3 linked regions of the Sus scrofa genome follow. The protein of the gene in region 2 purifies or fractionates together with the protein of the main gene of each other region. This does not show direct contact. Links are inferred from orthologs where the notes say so. Each region holds a gene or a part of one and is shown on either strand. Other genes may lie near its edges. The genes, in order: PLK1, SPAG9 and RCCD1.

Region 1 (3,645 bases), on a different chromosome or scaffold from region 2:
ACAGTAATAGCCTAGCATCAACTATGCACTTACTGTGGGCCAGCATTCTAACCACTTCAGGTATATCAACTCATTTAGTCCCCACAGAAGCGCCAAAGGTGCAAAGAAAGATCTCTGTAACTCCCCCCTTGTGCAGATGAGGAAACCGAGGCACAGAGGGGTGAAGTGCCTTAGAATACACCCCTAGTAAGCGATGGAGCCAGCACCCACACCGAGGCACAGGCAGCTCCAGCACCCACGCTCGGAACCACTCTGTGCTCTGTTCAATGACTGACCCTTGGTGACAGATTCAGTCCGTCTGTCCTTATGGAGATAGGGCTCTTGGCTTCACACACAAGGCAAAGATACCAAACAGGAAAGCGGCGGTGTGCCTGGCTGCTGCAGCCTGTCCCTCTCAATGTGCTCAAGCTGGTGGCTGCAAAAGCACCCCACTCTGCACGCATAGCGGTTCGTGACTCTGTGAGCACTTATTGACACGAGGTGCTCTGGGCTAGGGGCTCATTGTGTTCGGGCTGCTAAGTGGCAGAGACCATCTGAATCAAGATGGCCCACTTCCAAGGCTTAAGCAGCGCTTCTCTGTCTGCCTCCTACTCCCTCCTCTCTCTCTCTTTTTTTTTTAGGGCCGCACCTACAGCATATGGAGGTTCCCAGGCTAGGGGTGGAATTGGAGCTGTAGCTGCCGGCCTACACCATGGCCACAGCAATGCGGGATCCAAGCAGAGTCTGCTGCCTACACCACAGCTCATGGCAACTCAGGATCCTTAACCCACTGATCGAGGCCAGGTGTCGAACCTGCGTCCTCATGGACGCTAGTCAGATTCATTTCTTTTCTTTTTTTTTTTTGTCTTTTTGCTATTTCTTGGGCCGCTCCTGCGGCATATGGAGGTTCCCAGGCTAGGGGTCCAATCGGAGCTGTAGCCACCGGCCTACGCCAGAGCCACAGCAACGCAGGATCCGAGCAGCGTCTGCAACCTACACCACAGCTCACGGCAACGCCGGATCGTTAACCCACTGAGCAAGGGCAGGGACCGAACCCGCAACCTCATGGTTCCTAGTCGGATTCGTTAACCACTGCGCCACGACGGGAACTCCCAGATTCATTTCTACTGAGCCACGACAGGAACTCCTCACTCTCTTTTTATTTTACATATCTTTTGGGTTATCTGCCCAACCTTTGAGAACCTACAAATGCTCTCCCCAACCCCCCAAAATGCTTTTGTGCACAAATGTCAGATTCTGGATACAATTTCAGATAAGGACCCCCAAAACTCTTGTGGGAATCCTAAGGGTGGGACTGACCTACCTCTGTCCTCAGGATATGCGGGGTTCAGTAAATAGCTTGGGATGGAGGGGGGAGGTAAGACTTAAAATAAATGTAAACTTAAAAGCGTTTTCAGGAGTTCCTGTTGTGGCGCAGTGGTTAACGAATCTTGACTAGGAACCATGAGGTTGCGGGTTCGGTCCCTGCCCTTGCTCAGTGGGTTAACGATCCGGCGTTGCCGTGAGCTGTGGTGTAGGTTGCAGACGCGGCTCGGATCCCGCGTTGCTGTGGCTCTGGCGTAGGCCGGTGGCTACAGCTCCGATTCGACCCCTAGCCTGGGAACCTCCATATGCCGTGGGAGCAGCCCAAGAAATAGCAACAACAACAACAACAACAACAATAAAAAAAGACAAAAAACCCCCAAAAAACAAACAAACAAAAAAAAAAGCGTTTTCAGTCACCTTGGGAATACTGTACTCATTCTTCTTGATCCGGAGGTAGGTCTCTTTAAGGCAAGAGGTCTCAAAGGGTGGCTTGCCCACTAACAAGGTATACCTGTAAGCACAAGGAGGGATTTGGCTCAAGGCGCCCACCCAAAACCCAGATGCAGGAGGAATCATCTTGGGGCCAGAAAGTCAGACATCCTCTGGACACTCACTAGGACCCTGGGGCCCCAGAGGGCAGCCCGAAAGTCCACGGGCATGGGGGGTGTGGGGAGTCAGTAGAATAGAGGTGATGAGACTGGGTTCTCATGGGTGGGTGACTTTCTGGCTCGAGCCTGCAGTAATCTAGGGCCCCAGAGGCCGCCAGCCAACACACAACAGGTCAAAGCAGGTGGGCCAGCTGCTCCTACAGAGGCAGCTCCACAGTTAATACTTCTCATACTCAAGGCTACAAGCTTTCATTTGAAAAACTCCCACTGCAAAGAAGTAGGAAAGCCATCGCTGCAACTCATTTCTAACTCTCCAGGACCCAGAGCAGCATCGAAAGGGCTACCACCTGAACAGGCCCTACTCTGCCCTCCACTCACCCACCTCTGACGGCCCTGACCCAGACAGGTGGCAAGCCCTCCTGCCGCCAGCTGTAACTCCTGGCCTCATTCCTCGCACCCAATGCTTCTTTCTAGATGGGAGGTTTTAATACTTTACTGTGCAAGGAAATCACTCAAGGGTCTTAAAAGCCTGGGTCCTGAGATTCTGTGTTTCTAACAAGTTCCTAGATGCTGCTGCTGGCTGGTCTGCCAGACTCTGAATGGCAAGTGACTGAAGTGAGTTTGTGGCGACCTTCCCTCCTCCATTCCCTGGACCTGCAGCCCAGGCTACAGGAATCAGGAAACATCAGGGAGAAAAAAAAGATACAGAAACGAGGCTTCCTTGGTGGCAGTGTGTCCTGTGGAGCAGCCTTTCCACAGGCAGAAAGGTCTACAGGATTAAGGTCTGCTGGGGGAGATGTCGAGGGTGGGTCCTGAAGACAAGTCCCAACTTACATGATGCACCCAATAGACCACACGTCCACCTCGAAACTGTGTCCTTTCTTGCTCAGCACCTCAGGAGCTATGTAATTAGGAGTCCCGCACAGGGTCTTCTTCCGTTCCCCGTCATACTCGACTTTGGTTGCCAGTCCAAAATCCCCTGGGACAGAGAGAGGAAGAGGGGGACCTCAGACTTTAGCCTCTGCCATCTGTCACTGCTGACGGCTGGTTCAGGTGTAACCTTCAAGAACCAAGGTCAGAGCTCCCGTTGTGGGGCAGCGGAAACAAATCCGACTAGTAACCGTGACGTTGTGGGTTCGATCCCTGGCCTCACGCAGTGGGTTAAGGGTCCGGCGTCGCCGTGAAGTGTGGTGTAGGTTGCAGATGTGGCTTAGCTCCCCGCCTTGCTGTGGCTGTGGTGTAGGCTGGCAGCTGTAGCTTTGATTAGACCTCTAGCCTGGGAACCTCCATGTGCCACGGGTGTGGCCCTAAAAAAACAAACAAAAAGTACCAGGGTTGTTAGTTCCCTCAAGCCTCTCATCAAGGCTTCCCCAGGAATCCTCCCACCATGCTGGCCGGGGGGCAGGGGGACACCCTCCCAGAGACCTCACCCCTCCCCTCAGAAAGGAGGTCTTCCTTTCAAAGGGAATTGATAGGGAGAGCAAAACTCAAGTGCCTTCCAGGATTAAGCAAATAAACATGAAGACTGCTACTTGGCAAGTTTGTGATGAAGTAATAGGGAGGGGTGGGGACTGTGGCAAACCGGACGTCTAAAGAACACGCTGCTTTTCAGTCTAGCAAAGAGCTGCCCTGAGGGAAGGCTGTCCCTGGACAGCTGAAGCTCCCAATTTTTTAAAAAGAGCTTTGAATCTAGATTTTTACATCAATTTCAAAAAAAAAAAGTGCAAACGAA
Region 2 (4,288 bases):
TTCTATTCTCAGGTCATGAACCTTTACCCAAAGGTTTCATTATAAAGGATTTATAGATGTATTTGAAAAAGCATAAATTATAAATAAAGTCTTTGGGTAATCTATTTTTATTCTTTTTTAAGCCATGCCCATGGCATGTGGCAGTTCCTGGGCCAGGGATGGAATACATGCCAGAGTAGTGACCATAGCTGCTACAGTGACACCACCAGATCCTTAATCTGCTGCACCACAAGGAACTCCAGGATAATCTTCTTTTTAAGTCATTTACTTAATTTTTTCTTTTTTTTTATTACTCAATGAATTTATTACATTTATAGTCGTACAATGATCATCACAATCCAGTTTTATAGGATTTCCATCCCACAACCCCATAAGTTATTTACTTAAGAAATTAATATATAGTCCACAGTCTAGCAGCTCAGTCAGTTTATCCTCTGATTCCGCAACCTGTAGCAAATGGTTTTCCTGGCACGTGTGACCCTGGCATTTTGCCCATGTTTACATGAACTGACAGGAGTTTAAAGCTGAAGGGATGGAATTCCCATCGTGGTGCAGCAGAAACAAATCCGACTAGGAACCATGAGGTTTCGAGTTCAATCCCTGGCTTCTCTCAGTAGGTCAAGTATCTGGTGTTGCTGTGAGCTGTGGTGTAGGTCACAGGCACGGCTCAGATCTGGCGTTGCTGTGGCTGTGGCTTAGGCCGGCAGCTACAGCTCTGATTAGACCCCTAGCCTTAGAACCTCCATATGCTGCGGGTACAACCCTAAAAAAGACAAAAGAAAAAAAAAAAAAAAAAAAGGCTGAAGGAATCCATTTCTTTTATCTGTGGTCACAGGTCATGCTGGGCCTGCTCCTCACCTGTGTGTTTATTTGGTTAATTCCACTGTCTTTCCATGTACATCCACACACTGGCAAGGGCCTGTCTGAGCATGAAGATATAGCATGTCGTTTCATGAGGAGTATATGAACTCTGCCATAAACAGTGCTAATAAATTACTGGAAATTGTGATTCTATCCTTAGATTGTTTTTCAACACCTTCTTCCCTATATACTTGGAAATGCTCCTGAAATAAAGCAAATTTTCCTTGGCAAATTCAATGGCAATCCTGTGAGACAAATGGATCACAAAATCAGAACTAAAAATCATCATACAAACCTAAGAAAAAAGAAAAAAACTAGCTGACCTGGTACGAAGGCGTATGTGACAAAAAGTCTACATGGTTGTACTATTTAGTGTTAGGAAATTAGCTACTAAACAGATCTCACATCCTTAAAGTTTTTCAAATATTTCTGAAAATATTTTGTTGTCTTTCATTTCTTCAAGTCATTCTCTCAATAATTATTTAGCTTCCTTCAATTACCATGTATTTAGCCAGTTGTGCTAGATGCTCAGGAAACAAGGATGATTAACTTCATCTGCATTAACTACTAAGTTCCAGAGAAATAACGCCAACACAGCCTGAAAACTAAAATGCTTAAACTGTCTCAAGATGTCAAAGACATCTTGGTACGAAGATGTCTTCGTACCACTGGCAGTCCAGAAATCCAAAAGGTTCACAAGATGAGGGCACCGGGGTCACACCGCTGAGGCGCAAAAGTTAGAAGGCAGCCAAGTGCACCTGTAAACTGCAGTCTATGAAAAGGGTTGCCAGATGTCATCTACACCTCCAACCCGCCTCCCACCGCGCTCCCATCCTCTTTATCAGTTTTTAAAGGGAACTGTCCAAGGTTACCACCTGACAGGAAGGAATACTTTGATGTGGGCTACCAATAAAATAAAAATGCACACTCTCTATATTTAGAGTATTGCTATACAACATCTAAGTGTTGACAAAGTGTCAACCATGGTACATAAAACAAAACAAAAAAAACCCCTCCTTCTCAACAGGGTTAAAACGTCAATAAGAAACTGACCGAAAGAGGGAGATCTCTAACTTCCCAAAACAGCAACCCCCAGGAAAGGTACTGGAATCAGCGGAAGTTACTGAGGACAGAAGTGTTTAAATGCCCCCCTTCCCCAGCCCACGGTAAAAGTTTGAATCGCCGTCTATCTCACACGGTGGTCGGAAACTTCCCTAAACAACAGGCAAGCGGACACCCTAAACTCCTCTCTCAGCCAACCCGAGGTGCCCTCAAGCCAGGCTCTGGCTTCCTCCCCCATCTCACCCTCTTCTGGACACTCACTAGCCTGCCTCAGGGTCCAAACCCGGCCGGTGGTTCCGCGACCTCACGGCCTCCGGGCTCAGTCAGGTGGGCCTCGGCCTCAGGCCCGCCCCCAGGAGACCTGCGCGGCGCTCCTCTCCTCCCGGGACAGACCCGTGACCCCGGCCCGCCCTCAGGCCCAGCCCTCGCCCTCCCCGCCGGCCGGCCCTCACCTCCTCAGCGTGCTTGCGCAGCGCCTTCTCTCGCTCGTACTGGGTGATAAGCTGCTCGTTGTCGTCCCGCAGCAGCTCCAGCTCCACCTGGTGCTCCTGATCCTGCGCGAACACCGAGTCCAGGTTCTCCAGCACGGCCACCACCAGTGGCATCAGCTCCTTGACCACCTCCTCGTCGTAGCGCCCGATGAGCCTCTCGAACTCGCGGTAGATGGAGCCGGCCAGGCCGGACACCCTCTCAGACATCACGGCCCCGGAACCACCGGGCTCCTCCTGGTACACCACACCGTCCTCCAGCTCCATGGTTGCGGGCGGGCGGCCTGCCTGCCCGGGGCGTCACCGGCTGAAGGAGCGACTCGGGCCCGTACGGGACGGGCCGCTGGAGCTAGGGCTGGGGCTGGGCCCGGCGGGGTGGGGGCCGGGGCCGTAGGAGGGGAGGGGTGAGGCGAGCGCACTCAGCCCAACCGCCGCTGCACCAACTGCCGGGGCGGCCGGGCCGCGCGCGCCACACGTCACTCGTGGGGCGGTACCCGCGCCGCGTCGGCCTGTAGGGCGGGGCCCCGCGGGAGGCCGGGCGAGGCCGGGGGCGGGGCCGAATGCGTCACTATGCGCCGGCGGAGGCGGCGTGGCGTCAACACTCGGCGCCGCGCGACGTTGGTACGCCAATGGGAAAGTCTGCGAGAGAGGATGGCGAGAACTGCTGCCCCGGGCGGGGTTTGCTGGGCGAATCCCAGAGGAAAGGGAGGGGTTCTGGAAGAGTGACTAGCAGTCCAGAATTAGCATAGCTAACATTTTATTACTTTTTGCAGCTCATAGAGGGTTTTCTCGTTTGTTCTTCACAGCAGGCTTAGTGCTGTAGAAGTTTGGCCTTCGTTTCACAGACAAGGAAAGTAGGCCCTGAAAAGTTAGGGTTCACTCAAGGTCACACAGCTAGAACGGGAAGGAGGATAATCTGGGATTCAAACCAATTATGTCTGAGAAGTCCCGACCTAGAGAAGTGGAAAACAGAGAGAGAGAGAGAGAGAGAAAGCAACCTTAAATGAGACGAGGTCTGCCTCAGTGATAAGGTGGTCTTGAGTAGGATAGAATTATTTGGGGAAAAGTAGATTAAGGAAAAACTTAAACATAAGACATGCGCGGCATCCTGGAGATGAATAAAACTGGAACACCACATCTTGCACTTTCCCGTACACAATTTTCTCTGCCTCTCCTGGCCAGCTTGGGAGCATGGCATTTCCTGGCTCCAGCCACCCGCCTTTCCTCTAATCTTGAGGAAGTGGGGTGGGGCGGGCTAATAGGGGGTTGGGGAGTGGAAGAGGAAAGAGGTGGAGTCACTGAAGTGAGTAAGTCCTGTTATACTTGAGGTTTCCACCACCTGGTAAAGAATCACGTGTGGGGAATGACACAACACCCAAACCCCTGGAGGGCTGAGTTAAGGATCACTTCCCAGTGCTTCTTTTAGCCTCCGCAAATGTAGAAGACACTCTTAAAACCCCTTATCTCCAGGGGAGGTCACTCAGAAGTTCTCTGGCCTCTACTCTAAGAATAGGGTAGGGCTGGCAGAACTTGGATAAAGAATGGTTTAGCGCTGGAGTCAGCTACCTCTCGGGATCATAAATACCCTCAACTTGGTATTTAAAGTTCAAGTTCTCCCCATCAAGCACAAACTAGTTCTCCAAAGTTTCCCAAATTTAGACCCACTTGGAGACTCACAAAAGCAGTAAGGAGGTTAGCTAAGCTATAAACTCAAAATGACAAAAATGAAGATACTAAGCCTGGAGTTCCGACGTGTTGAGGCAGAATACTAACTCAAGTAGTCAGCATAGGCGCATGAGCTTTGATGCATTCTTTGATATGGCTATTGATTAACATTTGTGGTTTAAGGACTCCAGAGCAACATCCTCACAGGCCAA
Region 3 (3,645 bases), on a different chromosome or scaffold from region 2:
CCAGCTAAGTGACTTTTAAAATAATAAAAGAACTTACACAATAATAAACAAACCCTATATCAAAAAATAATAATAAACAAACCCTATATCCTCCACCCATAGCCCCCTCCACACTTGAGGAGCACAATAAAAGAGCACAATAAAAGCAGTGTGGTTTCTTGAGGCAGTGCTGCTCTTGGCCCCTGAGACCTTGAGTCTGCCGGTTCCCACCTTTGCTTAAGAAAATGTCTCTGTGTCTTGTTTTATGTTAACTTTTTTCCTTAGGTTTCACAGCACCCATTCTTCAGCCCCATTCTGCTGAGCTGGTCTCAGTTCCCCATCTTGGCACTACCTAGAAATCCCCCCAGGGTGGGGTCAGGTGGGGCAGCTTTCACATCTGCCTGTGTCTAATTCTGATTTCACCCGTGTCTGCAATGCTGGCCTTAGGCATCCATTGCCAAATCTCCAGGGGCTTCTAATTTGAGGACCAAGTCGAGGACACTGCTCTAAGTTGGAGCAAGAGGGCTGTGATGGGGAGGGAGGGGCAAAGACAAGGCCTCTGGAGAGCAGGCCCTGGTTTTCCTTGACCTGGGCAGGAGTTTCACAGGTGTTAGCTTTCTTCTTCTTTACTGTCCATTGATTTCATGCCCTTATTTACATATGTCGGCTCTTCTCTTTCTCCACAGCGAACACGTAGGTGTTCCAGGGCCCACAGCTCACAGTCCTGACTTGGAGTTGCTTATCTACAAAGTACTCCACACGGCAGGGCCGATCCAAGCTGGTCGTGTCCTTGTGGCCAAGCTGTCCATATTTACCTAAAGGGAAATGAACCCCTTTGCTATCCTCTCCACAGGGCCATGGCCTTCGGCCCCAGGAAGGAAAACCAGACTATCCACTGAAGTGTGGGGCTTAAGCCACCACGCTGCTAGTGTCTGCCCTGTGAATTCAGGAGACCAGAAACACAGAGCCCCAGGACCAGGCAATCTCCCAGGTCCCCAAGAGGCAATGCTCCTCCGGGCTCCCCAGCCCAAAGCTCAGATGCTCCGAGCAGAGCTTTTCATGTGATCTTTTGCTCTACCCAGTGCCAGACCAAAAGAGGTCTCCTCAATGCTGGAGAAACATTCCCTTAAGAAATAATACTTTTTCAGAAAGGTAAGTGGAAAGTAATGATATCTCCTATTTCTCTCTTGTCTGGTCTGTACCCTTCTGAGTGTGCCTAGATCCCTTCCAGAGAAGGGAACAGGCAGCTTTTCAGTCCCTGTCTTCCCAGTGGTTTGTCAGGCCGAGGGCATATGCTTCCACTGGTCTGCATGGCTCTTGTCACCTGCCCTCTGCTCCCGGGTCTTTTCTCCCCTTGGTTGAAGCATCACAAAAGCAAGTCCTTTACTTACCCCAGCCCCAGGTGTAGAGCTCGCCCGTTCCTGTAACCAAAAGGACAGTAAGAGGCCATTGCCCCTGCTCTTCAATAACGCATTTGTCCTGCCCAGCCTGCCACAACCCACAGCCAGCACTTTACAGTTGTCATGAGATTCGCTTTGCATAGCACAACACGTCCTCTCTCTCTTTTTTGGTTTTTCTTTTTTTTTTTTTGGTTTTTTAAGGGCTCCACCTGAGGCACATGGAGGTTCCCAGGCGAGGGGTCAAATCAGAGCTACAGCTGCCGGCCTACACCACAGACACAGCAACGCAGGATCCAAGCTGCATCCGCGACCTACACCACAGCTCAAGGCAGTACCTCATTCTTATTCCACTGAGTGAGGCCAGAGATGGAACCTGAGTCCTCATGGATACTAATAGGGATTGTTACCTTGGCACTACGACGGGAACTCCTCCTCTCTCTTTTTGACAGCTATCTAGTTGCATTTGATGTGGCAGAGGATCCAGACTGAAAAGCTTCTCCTTGCTCTACACCTCATGGTTCCTAGTTGGCTGATTGGCCTGCAACTCACAGCTACGACGTTCAGGAGCCTTAGAAGCAGGGCAGGGCGGGGCAGGCCCTACTGTCAGAAGAAAGATAGGCAAACACGAGCCTCCCTCCAGAAAGAAGAACCTTCGAGGACTGATGGGCTGGGGAGCCACTGTTAGAGCCACATGGGGGTGTAGTCAGTGAGGTAGCTACTCAGTACATGCCAAAGACACCTAAAATGGTAGTTTTTAGGACGTTCCCATGTGGTGCTGTGGGTTAAGCATCTGCATTGTCGTAGGTGAGGCACAGGTCACAATTGTGGTGAAGGTGTGATCCCTGGCCAGGAACTTCCACATGCTATGAATGTGGCAGAAAAAAAAATGGTCATTTTTTAGGCAATCGCCACCCTTTTCTGCAGCTACTAGTCAGAGAGTTGGGGTGAAGGGACCTCTGGACCATCCTGAACCAGCCTACCCAGCCCCACTCACTTGTCACCACCGCTGTGTGCCGGGATCCACAGCTGGCCTTGACCGCATCTGAGCCGAGGGGGAGATCCAGCAGGGCCGGGAAGGGCTGGACAGCTATGAAGGGGGTGGGGCCTCCATCCTCACCCTCTGTGGCTCTCTTTGCTTCAGAACCATCTTCGTTCAGTCCTGGGGCTTCAGAGAAGCAGTAAGAGTGATGAGGATAACGATGGTGAACACTCACTGAGCACCAATCTAAACCTCATTCATACACCAACTCTGTACAACAGCTGAAGCACATACTCTGGCTTGAAGGCCATCGCTCCCGACCCCACATTTCCCAGGAAGCGCTGGAGTTGACAGGTTTGTGGAGCATGTAGCACTGGCACTGGCATTAGCCTTGCCATGATCCCTCTCATAAGGGGCTCAGAGACCTTCAGTGTGTCCTGGGGTCCTGAGGATGTGACACACCCCTTCCAAGCACTGTGTAGTTCTCAGGCCAGAAAATAGCCAGGAGTCAGGAATGACAGGTACATGTGTGACCCTCGGAGTTCCCACTGTGGCGCAGCAGAAATGCATCCAACTAATATTCATGAGGATGTGGATTTGATTCCTGGCCTCGCTCAGTGGGTCAGGGATCTGGCACTGCCGTGAGCTGTGATATAGGTTGAAGATGCAGCTTGGATCCTGGGTTGCTGTGGCGTAGGCTGGCAGCTGCAGCTCTGATTCAACCCCTAGCCTGGGAACATCCATATGCTGCAGATGTGGCCCAAAAAAGCCAAAAAAAAAAAAAAAAAAAAAAAAAAAGAACTGACACTCTGTGGTTGCCAAGGGGGAGGGGAGGGAGTGGGATGGACTGGGAATTTGGGGTTAACAGATGCAAAATATTGCCTCTGGAATGGATAAGCAATGAGATCCTGCTGTGTAGCACTGGGAACTATATCTAGTCACTTATGATGGAGCATGATAATGGGAGAAAAAAGAATATATATATTTATGTGTGACTGGGTCATCTTGCTGTGCAGTAGAAAACTGACAGAACACTGTAAACCAGCTGTACTGAGAAAAAATAAAAATCATTTAAAATAAACTTTAAAAACTAAAAAAAAAGAACTGACCCTCACCAACAGACTTGTGGTAGCCAGGGGGCAGGGGGCTGGGGGAGTAAGGATGCACTGGGAGTTTGGGATTCGCAGATATAAACTGTTATGTATAGAATGAGGACACAGGGTTCTACTGTATAGCATAGGGAACTATATTTAATATCCTGTGATAAACCATAATGGAAAAGAATAT

Evidence for each region.
Region 1: the proteins of SPAG9 (region 2) and PLK1 purify together in Homo sapiens (affinity purification with mass spectrometry; 7 studies listed by BioGRID and IntAct, counting the BioPlex papers as one, with this or other methods). This does not show direct contact. The link is inferred for Sus scrofa from reciprocal best matches to the Homo sapiens genes SPAG9 and PLK1.
Region 3: the proteins of SPAG9 (region 2) and RCCD1 purify together in Homo sapiens (affinity purification with mass spectrometry; 3 studies listed by BioGRID and IntAct, counting the BioPlex papers as one, with this or other methods). This does not show direct contact. The link is inferred for Sus scrofa from reciprocal best matches to the Homo sapiens genes SPAG9 and RCCD1.

The regions. Positions count from the first base shown.
Region 1 is NC_010445.4:22,544,313-22,547,957, forward strand, and holds part of PLK1 (serine/threonine-protein kinase PLK1), read right to left. Parts: intron 2,893-3,645; coding exon 2,748-2,892; intron 1,817-2,747; coding exon 1,723-1,816; intron 1-1,722. UniProt on the Homo sapiens protein: Serine/threonine-protein kinase that performs several important functions throughout M phase of the cell cycle, including the regulation of centrosome maturation and spindle assembly, the removal of cohesins from chromosome arms, the inactivation of anaphase-promoting complex/cyclosome (APC/C) inhibitors, and the regulation of mitotic exit and cytokinesis.
Region 2 is NC_010454.4:27,367,390-27,371,677, forward strand, and holds the start of SPAG9 (C-Jun-amino-terminal kinase-interacting protein 4), read right to left. Parts: upstream 2,876-4,288; 5' UTR 2,679-2,875; coding exon 2,376-2,678; intron 1-2,375. UniProt on the Homo sapiens protein: The JNK-interacting protein (JIP) group of scaffold proteins selectively mediates JNK signaling by aggregating specific components of the MAPK cascade to form a functional JNK signaling module.
Region 3 is NC_010449.5:53,553,490-53,557,134, reverse strand, and holds part of RCCD1 (RCC1 domain-containing protein 1), read right to left. Parts: intron 2,545-3,645; coding exon 2,374-2,544; exon of another isoform or gene 1,787-2,373; intron 1,401-1,786; coding exon 1,371-1,400; intron 795-1,370; coding exon 634-794; 3' UTR 1-633. UniProt on the Homo sapiens protein: Plays a role in transcriptional repression of satellite repeats, possibly by regulating H3K36 methylation levels in centromeric regions together with KDM8.